2 linked regions of the Drosophila melanogaster genome follow. The gene in region 2 interacts genetically with the main gene of each other region. Each region holds a gene or a part of one and is shown on either strand. Other genes may lie near its edges. The genes, in order: capt and Pka-R1.

Evidence for each region.
Region 1: of Pka-R1 (region 2) and capt, changing one enhances a phenotype caused by changing the other (phenotypic enhancement), as found in Drosophila melanogaster (one study listed by BioGRID).

What each region holds. Positions count from the first base shown.
Region 1 is NT_033779.5:1,151,178-1,158,253, forward strand, and holds capt (capulet), read right to left. Parts: upstream 5,135-7,076; 5' UTR 4,792-5,134; coding exon 4,569-4,791; intron 3,877-4,568; coding exon 3,375-3,876; intron 3,230-3,374; coding exon 3,105-3,229; intron 2,555-3,104; coding exon 2,209-2,554; intron 2,142-2,208; coding exon 1,594-2,141; intron 1,524-1,593; coding exon 1,000-1,523; intron 939-999; coding exon 855-938; 3' UTR 501-854; downstream 1-500. Other genes in the region: Vps29 (vacuolar protein sorting 29), read left to right, coding at 1-234.
Region 2 is NT_037436.4:20,817,192-20,822,192, reverse strand, and holds the start of Pka-R1 (protein kinase, cAMP-dependent, regulatory subunit type 1), read right to left. Parts: upstream 3,229-5,001; 5' UTR 3,159-3,228; coding exon 2,724-3,158; intron 1,863-2,723; exon of another isoform or gene 1,470-1,862; coding exon of another isoform or gene 1,467-1,469; intron 1-1,466. Other genes in the region: Mst77F (Male-specific transcript 77F), read left to right, coding at 4,315-4,596, 4,659-5,001.

The sequences.
Region 1 (7,076 bases), on a different chromosome or scaffold from region 2:
CTGGACGTGGACATCCTGATCACGGGGCACACGTACAAGTTCGAGGCCTACGAGCACGGCAACAAATTCTACATCAATCCGGGATCGGCCACGGGTGCCTTCAACCCACTGGACACCAATGTGGTGCCTTCGTTCGTGCTGATGGACATTCAGAGCACCACGGTGGTCACGTACGTGTACCAACTGATCGGCGACGAGGTCAAAGTGGAGCGCATCGAGTACAAGAAGATCTAGGGTCCTAGTATTAGCCACCAGCCATTCCCCTCCAATCCAACCCTTGACCCCTGCATTCTGAGCTCGGCTTCATTAAAGAAATTGTAAATGTACGTAGCAATAAATCAAGTTCTCATTTTTTTATCTGATAAAAAATGCTAGCACCTTGTTTAAATAGAGAATAAAAGTACGAACGGACGAAAGTGAAGTTTTAGATTTAATGCAATAATAAACGATTACAAAGTAAGGAAAAACACCCCCAGAAATTGTGATACTCCCACAATAATCTGATAAAAAAGTTTAAATTTTATTAAATAGAATATAAAAAGGAGTTACATCTGATGATCGAGTAAAGAGTCTGCTCAAAAGTTCGGATTTCATGCTCAGTTTCTCATTGCAACACACTCTCGATATAAATACATTGGGTTCGGTTTGTGGCCATCGCTTTTCCATCGAAATAAATTATATAAATACTTTCCACGAGCCAGGACAGCAATGTTTGGCAACATCATCAATACGAAATGTTTGATCTAAAAATCTTTGAATTACGAAAACTTTGCACTTAGATTAAATACAATTATGATTGCTGCTGACGACAGTTGGAAAAGCAACGAACAGGATCCCCGAGGAGGAGAACCGCCTTAGCCGAGGCTGTCCACGCACACAGTCTTCAGGGTCTTGCCGGCAATCGTGGTCTTATACTGCTCCGGTAAAGCCAACTCGGTCTGGAAATCACAAAAAAAATAAATAAATGACTGAAGACAAGAGACAAATTTTTGAACTCACATAATCGCCGCTGTCGTCGGGCAACAGGATGTTCATCTCCGAGGACTTGGAGTTGACGATCTCCACGCCCAGCGAGTCCTTGGACAGATACATCTGGCAGCCGTCGGTCTTGTCGATCGATACCGTCGGCACCGAGCCGAGCACCTGCATCTGCACGCTCTGGCAGTTGACGAACTCCACGGAGGCCACCACGGAATCGAACAGCAGGGAGCACTTCTTGCAGGAGTCGAAGACGATGTTGTTCACCTTGCCCTTGACGGTCAGAGTGGATCCCTCACACTTGAACACATACACCACGTTGTTCATCTCGGCGTTCTCCACCAACAGCCCGGTGTTGTTCTTCTGGTACTCGATGATCCACTTCTTTCCGTCGCGCTCGAAAACGGGCGCCTTGGCTTGCGCAGCTGATGGAGCAGCAACGGCCTTGCTGCCGCCCGACTGGGCTGGCGATTTGAACGGAGCCGGTCCAGTGCGTAGAGATGGATTTTTATGGGTCTGCATGTCGCCAGTGACCTTCTTCAAGCCTGCGGGTTTATCAAAAGATACATTTTCTTACTATAGGAGCACTTAACCATTTTTGCAGTTGCTGCTCACCCTTGGTGATGTCGGCACCCTGGTTGATCTGGGCGAAGAGGGCGCTGCGATCATCTCCGGCGCTATCCAGCTTGAGGGCACTCAGATCCAGCATGGGCGGCGGTGGGGGCAGACCACCGGGTGGCGGTGGTGGCGGGGCACCTCCGGCGGGGGCCGCTCCCTTGCCGGACCACACCAAGCCCGTGGTGTGGTACTGCCGGATGTAGGCCTGCAGTTCGGTGAGCGTCTGCACCCAGGCGCGGGCCCACTCCACATGCGTAACATCCTTCTCCTTCCACTCCTTGAGCACGCGGTTCGTGTAGAACTGGCCGGCGTCGTTCATCTCCTTGACATAGGGACCCGGGGTCTTCTCCACGCACACCCAGCCCAAGGCGGGAATGCTTTCGCTGATGGCCGACAGGTGGTTGAAGAAGGGCGAGGAGCGGTGCTTCTCGCGGAAGTCCTGGATGGCGCTGATCTGCGTCGAGGTCGGCTTCAGAAGCTCCGCCTGCTTGGGCTGCGCCGGCTGGGCGATCTGGGTGGCCAGCGTCACGTACTGCAGTTGGGAGCTGTTGCGGAATTGAACGATGGCATTATTACACTTTTACCATAGATGACTCATCCAGACTGACTCACCCAAAGGCGCTCTTCACGAGCTCCGCATGCTGCGCCACATCGCCGCCAATTTTGGCGGAGAGAGTTAGGTATTGGCTCAGCGGACCCGCCACAATGTCCTCGAATCCGGCGACACTCATGTTGCTGCTGGGCGGCGAGGGAGGTGGAGGTGGTGTCTCTGCTTTTTCAAAAACTGGAAGAGCTTCTTCTTCTTCGGCTGGCGGAGGCGGGAGTGTGGGCGTGGGCAGTTCTATCGGCTGTGGCGCTGTTAGAGTCCGTTCCAATCGGTCGACGAGGGTCTCCAGTCGCTCGCAAATGCTCTCCAAGTGGTCGACGGCGGCCGAGGGCTTGGCTTCCGGCTCGTTATCTGAACCAAAATGACGCGGAGGAGAACGGCAAATGTTTAGTTCGTTTTGGCAATTATCTCGAATTATTCAAATAACACTGAGTTTTATAAAGAAAATAACTTGAGTGAGATGATGCTTCAGCGTGATAAACCCCAGTGAATCGTGCACTCACAATACCTGACAAAAAAGGCGATATAAACTAAGGCGTCTCGAGAGGAATACCTCATCACGAGCTTGTGTATGATGATGAACTGGTGCGCTTAATACTTATAAAGTTCAATATGCAAAAAGAGCTAATCCCAACGAGTGAAAGTAATAATCCACATGCAAAAACGGCACAAGACAACGAAAAATCATAAGAGAGAAGAACTAAGTTGAACCTTTAAACGGAAGCACTTGACTTGCGAACTTATTGGCCATCAGGAAGTTACGTGAATCGCTAGACTCTCAAAACTTCTTCACAGCGAAAACGAACACATAAAGAACACAGAAAGTCAAGCATCCGCTTAAATAACTGCTGAGATCGAAAAAAAAAAGCAAAAGAATCGGACTCTATCGAAGCTCGCATACCCCGCACGGCCACGCTATGCTCCACAGCCGCATGGGCGGCCCGCAGGAGCTCCGTGTAGAGACGCTGGCGCTTCAGCTCCAGCTCGTCGCGTCCCACCGGCGTGACCGGGGGCTCGATGCAGCCGCTGGACATGGAACGAGGACAGAGGAGACGATGTACTGGCAATTCAAAGCGGGGCTGGGAATGCAGGGGTCGACCTGTTCTGGTTTCAGCTTAACTATATGGATATTTTGGGCGTGAAACCAAAACAGGATCTTGGGTAAGCATACATGTCGTTCAGGCGCTCGTCGTCGAACCACGAGGGTAATCCGTGGGCAAAGAAGAGTGTTTCCGAGACGACATCCCCCTCGATGTAGGGTGCACACATGCTCTCCCGCTTGGGTGGCGGCAGTGAGTCGGAGAACACCTCGTCGTCGTCCAGCAAGGAGCCCTGATTCTGGCTGGCCAGCAGGAGCAGTGGCAGTGGATCCGGCTCGATGATCTCCGCCCGGTTGCTGATATTCACCTTCTTCTTGATCGACTGATGCGTTGAGTTGTGCCTGGACAGGCAGCTCTTGGTGGGCGGCGGCTGAGGAGGCGGTGTGGTCGGCGTGACCGTCGCCACCACCACCACTTCGTCCGCCTCCTCCGCGTCGCCGCTGGTCATCGAAGCAGGTGGTGCCGTGGATGTGGAAGAGTGCGTTGAGCGGGCCAGTGGCTCCGGTTCTTTGGGTGCTAGTGCTGGATTTGCTGGTGATGATTTGCTAGCCGCTTCAGCCTGAGTTGGTTGGGCTGTGGAAGTGTTGCTTAAGATTACTCTACATGAAGCGACGAATTACCAAGACGATCATCAAGGAAAGCGCCGATACTTAAGTTGATTACTTCACTTCACTCTCTGCTCACCTCGCTTCCTGTCTTCATTATGTTTATTTATCGCATTTAAAAGCATTTACCATGGTCACTGGCAGATTGAGTAGTTAGTTTTTACTGCTCACCTTATTATTATAGAATCTATAGAATCTTGAATTTTCTGTCTAAATTATTGACCTTCATTTTAGTTTCTATATTCGTCACTACTATATACTATACGTTCACTTTGATGGATGAGCACGATCTAAGTGCTCAACAAAAAGTGTGTATGCAATGTCATTAGCTATTCCTCATTAATCAACTGAGAATCGGCGCAATTCCTTGATATTCATATGTATAAAATTCACAGAAATAAACCGAAGAGAAAGCACAGTGAAGACAACTCATAAGTAAATAGAAAAGGACACTCAAGGCAGCTTGAAGTGCCCGGATTGAAATGAAAGGAAAGATCAGAAGTGGTGGTCAGCTGCAGTGGCATTGCAGTGAGTGAGAGCCGGCCGGATAGGGGCCTTCGTTCCGGAGAGCAGACAAAAGCCGAGACAGCTGTTGAGCTCGAAGGCCGGAGAACGCGAATAGATGGGGTGGTGGGTAAATACTTAGCGTTGCGTCAGTACCAGTGTTTGGCTGGGTGCTTGTGGGCACATCCTCGGGATTATGCGCTTCCAAGAGCTCCTTTTCTGGTTTCACAGGCTCTGGCTCCTCCTTCGGAGTTCCTGGCTTGCCGTTCAGCTGGGGTTCCTCCTTTTCGGTGACCTGTCCGCCGTTCTCCTCCTCTGCGTTCCGCTTTTCCTTCTCCTTCTTGCCCGCCTTGGGGTTCGATCGGCAGCAGGAGAACATTTTGCAGGCGTGTGGCTGGGCTTTTCCGGTGCTCAACACTCTAGGTACGAATCAAGCACATTATGTAAGTTCCGTGGCTCGACTGCGGATGCCCGTGAAGCTCAAGCGGCGGTCACAACACTGACGGCACACCAAACCAAATCGAATCAGTAGAAGCAGTAACAGCAGCAGCCATATAAGACACTCAACGGGTTTCCAACGAACGTGGCCACTCCTTGCTCACTGTGTACATATATTCAGTGTATGGCCCAAATTTAGTGGCACATTAATAAGGTCCTCCGAGTTGTCCGCGCCTTCAACTGGGTCAAGTGACTGCCGACCAAGCACAGAACCAAATGGCACACAAATGCGATTACACACGGAGAACAGAACACACCCTAAACGAAGCGCACGCCCACGCACTCGGGGATTCGATTCGATTTCGAACTCGAACTCGAAGGTCTCAACAGGACTCTGTTAGGAGAGCTCCGCGCTGTTAACTGCTGAGTTTCGCCGCCTTGTTGGGCTACTCCGCGCTGCTTTTGACCATTTGGGGCCAGCCACCGACTGGCAATGAAATGTGTTTCATTAATAACCGCTTTTGGCCTGACATGCAGGATTTTGTGCAAGCTCCGGCGATGTCTTGCACTTTTGCAGCAGAGAAAGCTTACGGTCCAGGCGGAAAATGGAAAACTCTCCGAGAGAGTTGCGCAGACACCACTGTGATTTCGTGATACCCTTCTCGCCACGGGTGGCGCGACTTAAGTGAGGGAAAACCACGGCGATCCCATAGTTTTATCAGCCCTGTAAGGCAGGGTTCGCCTATCAATTAGTTGTGACAACACCGAGTTATCTTTACTATTTGGAAAGTTTCCAGGAATGATCGGTAATGAAACTATGATTCCATTTTGAGCATTACCATAACGTTTGTAAGCCATAGAGAGTAGAGAGATGCAATGATCATATCTTAGCCGGCTATAAAAACAGTTTTAAAATGTTCAGCTTTTTGTGAAGTAATCTGCCGCAGAAGAGTATAAAAACGTCGACGTAACTGAAACTCCCATATCGTTTGCTTGCCAGTTTTTGTTTTGGCCTTAGTGCAATGGGTTTATTGCACCGGCAACGTTGTTTTTGTTTTTAAGTAGCTTTAAACAAATGGCTGGCAATTAGAGTGGGAAATGCATCAGTAGCCGTTGGATTGGAGGGAGGGGCTAAGCCGCCGAGGACAAGTAAGCCGAGATTCAACTTTCGCCTGGCGATACTAGTTCTCCTTGCAGTCTTGATGCGTTTTCTGCGGCAGATGCGTTTGTTGCGTGCAGAAAGCAAAGAAGAAATGGGGAAGAAAAACTAGAAACCAAGATTAAATGTCTGCAGCTGAGGAACCGTTATTCCCGCTGCGAGAGTGTGAGTGAGCTCGAATTACCAGGGGTGGGGGGTGTTCGTAATGGTAGAAGAAAAATCGCCCACCTTATAAGGCGAGGTGTTATTTTCTTCCACCGAAATCGAGTGAGTGGTAATATCTGCCGATTTTCAATCGCGATTCGCTGATAAAAGCGTTTTGGCCAACTTTTTGACTCATTCGCGCACGAATACAAGCAAACGTGTTTGCTCTTGCGTAAACTACATACATGCATACATACATATGCATATCAACTATGTGTCTGTGAGTCAGCGAAACAAAAACAAAAAATGGCCACAACAGCTGAGTAGTTACTTTTTTTTATCGGGGGTTAACAATCGCAATGGGAGCTGCTAAGGGTTAATTTGCATACACTTGCTGGCAATGAATTAGTTGTGTCTTTATGCCATGGAATCGGATATGAAATCATCGTTAAAAATACACCATGTAGATTTAATTTTACAAGCAACATGAATCACACAAAAATAGCCATCACACAGCTGTCTCTTGTCTTTTTGGCTCTCTTCGCTGTTGTTGTTGTTGTGTGTGTACAAACACCCACAGCCTGCATCACACACACACGCTCAAATTCGTGACAGCACCACCCACCCCTCACCAATAACCGTTAATTCCGCAGACACTTTCAGCCGGCGAACGGGAGAAGAGAATTTGCGAATAATAGCAAAGCCCCGTTTAAATGAACGTTTTTAGCAACAATCAGGCGTTACTCACCTTCTTTTGCTGCTGATGAATTTGCAAGGATCTGCAGTTGTATTCCAATTAGAACTGACGAGAAGCTGCGTAGCGAACACCGGCGAAATGGCGAAAATAATAACTTGGCGTGGCCTTTGGTGGGACCAGGCGTACATTCGTGGAAATAGTCAAGCGAGTTAACCCTTATGTGGGT
Region 2 (5,001 bases):
GTTTTAAAAGGAGGGCAATCGAAATTATTTAGTTTTAAGAGTGGGCAAACTAAAAAAACAAATTTTAAAGGGTGGGCAAACGAAATAATTTATTTTTAAAGGGTGGGCAAACGTTAAAAATGAATTTTAAAGGATGGGCAAACGAAATTATTTAGTTTTAAAAGGTGGGCAATCGAAATTATTTAGTTTTAAGAGTGGGCAAACGAAAAAAACAAATTTTAAAGGGTGGGCAAACGAAATAATTTATTTTTAAAGGGTGGGCAAACGTTAAAAATGAATTTTAAAGGATGGGCAAACGAAATTATTTAGTTTTAAAGAGCGCAGGGCAATCGAAATTATTTATTTTTAAATGGTGGGCAAACGTTTTTTATTGGAAATTTTTATTTTAAAGAGGTGGGCTAACGAAATTGGGTGTATTTTAAATGTGGGCAATCGAAAAAAAATTTTTGTTAAAGGTTTTTTAAAGGGTGGGCAAACGATAAAAACTAATAATAATGGTTGGGCAAACCTTTTTTGTTGATAATATTTGGTTTTAAGAGATGGGCAAACGATTTACTCTCTGATTAGACCGAGGTAAACTTAAAAGCCTTATATTTTCTAAAGTATAAATTTTTTCAAAATTCTAAAGGGTGGGCAAACGTGGGCAAACGATGTTATTGCGATTTAAAAAAAAAAATTTTGAAAAAAGCGAAATTTTTGATTTTCGAAAATTTTCGAACTTTTTCGAAAATTCATATCTCAAAAACTGGACGTGGGCAAAAAAAACTAATTGGTGGGCAAACATGGGCAAAAAATGGGCAAACGATTCCAGCTTTCAAATTTCAAAAATTCGATTTTTCCGACCCCAGCTTCTTTGAGCTCATAAATTGCTTTCATCGGACCCACTTAAAAATATCACAGAAATCGTTTTAATGCGATGCGAGTGCATAAAAAGGAAATAAAAGGTAGTAAAATAACAATTTAATCAAGTAAACAGAGCATAATTCGAGGCCATATTTCGGGGAAATTTTTCATTGGAATTGTATGTTAAATGCTTTGCGTTCTGGAAGGAAACAAACAGATTGGATAGAATACGAGTGTTGATTTCATTTAAAATTGTTGATTTTCATTAAAAAAAAATGTTGTCAATTTGTTTTTCCTCAAGGAGACTATTTATATAGCTTGGAAGAAAAATGTATCCAGTTATACCTTGATGGCAATTCGATAATCGGAAAGTAATATTACTATTAACAACTTTGAGTTCTAATAAATATCTAAAAATGAGAATTGTATACCTTTCAATGGGATAATATAGAAATATGAAGGAACGGAAGAAGAATGAATACTTGAATGTTAAAGATTAAGGATTCTTAAGCGTTAATGCAATGGGACCCTTTCTCTTCCTCACTATAAAAACGCTATTGAAACCAATTCTTTCCGAAATATTTACCAAGTTAACCGTATTTAACACTTCGAATTTTACCCACCATTTCGCTGGTCGAGTTCCTGTCACTTCCGCTTTGGCACTTTTCCAACCTCGTTTGGCCAACACAATTGATTGTTGTTTGTCTGTACTTTATGGCGGACACTGGGGACAAAGTGTCCGGCGTAGTTTTTGGCACGATTCCGCTGTTAATCAGAAGCCGGCGTAAACAGCGCCGGACGGAGCGATGACAGCCGTAAAAGCGGCATTAACACGACCGTTAAACCGGACAATTCGATGATCGGAGCAGCGGAATTCGCGTGGCCATCAATCAGGCAAGAAAGTCGAAAAGTAACGACCGCAAAAGGTGAATGGTAACTAGTAAATTGAGCAGTTAAGTTGGCGAAAAAACTAAAATTGGGAACAACGATGGGCAACTGACGGTGGCCAAAAAGTGACTGAGACAAACGAAAGGACGAAAGCAAACTCTAGCAGCCAGACACAAACACAATCTCGACGACGACAGGATGACCTTCACCAACACGCCCAGCGAAGGCAACCTTTCTATATATACACAAATATATACATACAAATACGACTGGCCAAAAAGTAAAGTTTTTCGCACACCCGCCCACCACCTCACACACATACACTCGCACTTGTGACGCAAGTCCTGGCAAAGGGAAAAGCTTTTACGGGAGAAAAGGGCCAGAAGTGCTAAAGGGAAAGCGAAGGGAGCGCTTTGATTTCGTTAGAATTCCCTTCGAGTTTCAAGTGCAAACTCGACATTTTGTCGCAAAAAGCAGCTCGTGGGGCATTATGAAATGCACTTTCTTTAAATTAGTATATAGTTTAGGTTACTATATTCTACTGTATCCCAAAAATTAACCCCTTTCCATTTACCTTTTTGCAAAAAATAAATTTATAATGTTTAAATAAAATGTGAACATTTTCTTCCTGTTCGTTCTTTTTCTTCAGATACGAAAGATATTTTGAAAGAATTAAAAGGCCTTAACGTAAAACATAGCAAACTTTTTCATATTTTATTAAATTTTTATATTCTAAGTAGGGTATTAGGTGCTCGCGGAATAAGGTAAACATTTTTTTGCATGTTTTTATTTGTGTTAGAACTAACGACATCGTGATTTGTAGTCACAAATCGAATCAACAAGACACCAATTTCAAACGATTCAAAGCTTTCTAGTATGCGCACACTCCCACACTTTAAATCTTTTTTCCGCCAAAAGCTTTTCAGCACAAATTCCTAGTGATTTCCTACTGTTTTCCGGAAATTGGAAACTTTTCCGACTTTCCAACTTACTTCGCGTTCCCGCTGGCGCTCAAGCTCAAGTTCCTGTTCACGTTCGCGGGCCAGAGTGGAGAGATGAATCTGCAGGCTGCGATCGCTGACGGCATCCTCCTCGGGAATTGTGGTGCAGGAGGTGCGAACATGCCGCATGCGATGCACTGCATCCAAGCTCAGCCGATGTTCGTGATCATCGCGGAGCAGAGCATCGAACATGGCCACCCCGCCATCGATGCTACTTTCGCGCAGGATGCGTCCGCCGCGTCCACTGCAATGGGGACTCTGCTGCTGATTCTGCTGATGCTGATGATGATGGTGGGTGGTGGCCACCACGCCCTCCGAAAACGAACGGATGCGCATGGCGCCGTTGGCATCGGTGGTCAAAGCCACCGAGCGGAAGCGATCGATGACCGCATCCTGGATGCTGTTCACACTCAACTGGTTGCCCATGGCGCGCGGAGGCAAACAAATAAAAAGCAAACGAACGGAGTGAACTAGGTGGAAGCAGGATGCTTCTGCACGGCGTCAGGATGCTAATCCAACTGACAGCGGGTCCGGCATTCAACAGGCAACTTGCCCCAGAGAGTCCGGCGCACACACACAGGCGTACTCAAAATCAAAGTTGGGAGAAAAAGGGGTAAGGAAAGTCGCTTGGCAAGTGAGAGGGGGAACAGGACGATGTGGAAAGGACCTCCACAGGTGCGCTGCTCTATTTACATTGCAGCATTGCAAGCTTTTGCTGCAGCCTGTCTCACAAAATAAACTTTAAAGCTTCACAATGAACAGAGGGAATACAGTTCTCCGAAGCAGGAAGCCGAAAATAAAGCATCCGTGCTGGGAAATCCACCTATGGATGGGTTTTTTTTTTAACAATCCGCTCGAAAATAGACCGCAAGTTGTATTGATTTTCGTTTAAGCGGCAGCATTAACCAGCAAAATGCCGCTTGTTGCTTACCAAGTGGTTGAAACCCCGGAAAGGAACGTAGTCGCACAGGATAATTTAAACACCTTCCCTCACCAACGACATTTCTGGTATTTCTTACATATTTTGTTCAGATTATAATATAACATTTAGTATTGCTTTTGTAAAATATTTGTTCATTTCATTTCATTGAAAACAAGGAAGTACGCTATTCTATTTCGTGAATATCAGATACGCGTTACTCAGCTAGTCGGATTGCAAACAGAATATTAAAACCTTTTTCAAGACACACGGACGGACGAATATGGCCAGCTCGACTGATACTGATCAAGAAACATTAAACATTTTCTCCTACAATATCTTGAACGAATATAGTATACAAAAATAACCATGGAAATATGGCGCCGATCTGCGAAATGTACTTTGAAAACAGCCAACTTGGTTTGAAAAAAGGAACTTTTTCTTGATCATAGTAGAATTGAGCCTTCATTCAAATCCAATTTCCAGGTCTCCACGCTGAAGCCAGCATACAAACAGTTAGTACACTACCTTTGAACGAGGAACAACTAAAATATTTCGATAAAATTGAGTACAGTTTTTTATACATATATAATTTTTTTTTGTATAATTCTGAGTAACAAATTTGTTTGTGAAAATTTCTGTCGAGCAAGAATTGGTTGCAAAATGAGTAATCTGAAACAAAAGGATAGCAAGCCGGAGGTGGCAGTAACAAAATCAGTGAAAACCTATAAAAAATCAATTGAATATGTTAATTCCGACGCCTCCGACATTGAAGAAGATATCAATAGGGCAGAGGACGAATACGCCTCATCGTCTGGCTTTGTTAATTTTCTGAGGGACTTTAAGAAGCGCTACGGAGAATATTACTCGAATAACGAGATAAGACGGGCTGCTGAAACCCGATGGAACGAAATGTCATTCCGTCATCGATGCCAGTATTCTGCGGTAAGTTAGGTGTCGAATACAAACGAAATGCACATGTATGCAATCGTAATGCACTTCCGCAGGAACCATTGGACACTTTTCATGTAGAGCCCAACAGTGTGAGCAGTCTTCAGCGTTCTAGTGAGGGCGAGCACAGAATGCACTCTGAAATAAGTGGCTGCGCAGACACTTTCTTCGGTGCCGGTGGCTCCAATAGCTGCACTCCAAGAAAGGAGAACAAGTGTTCCAAGCCCAGGGTGCGGAAGAGTTGCCCCAAACCACGGGCGAAAACCTCGAAGCAACGTCGCAGTTGCGGCAAACCGAAGCCCAAGGGCGCCCGACCCCGGAAGGCATGTCCCCGCCCCAGGAAGAAGATGGAATGCGGCAAGGCGAAGGCAAAGCCAAGGTGTCTTAAGCCCAAGAGCT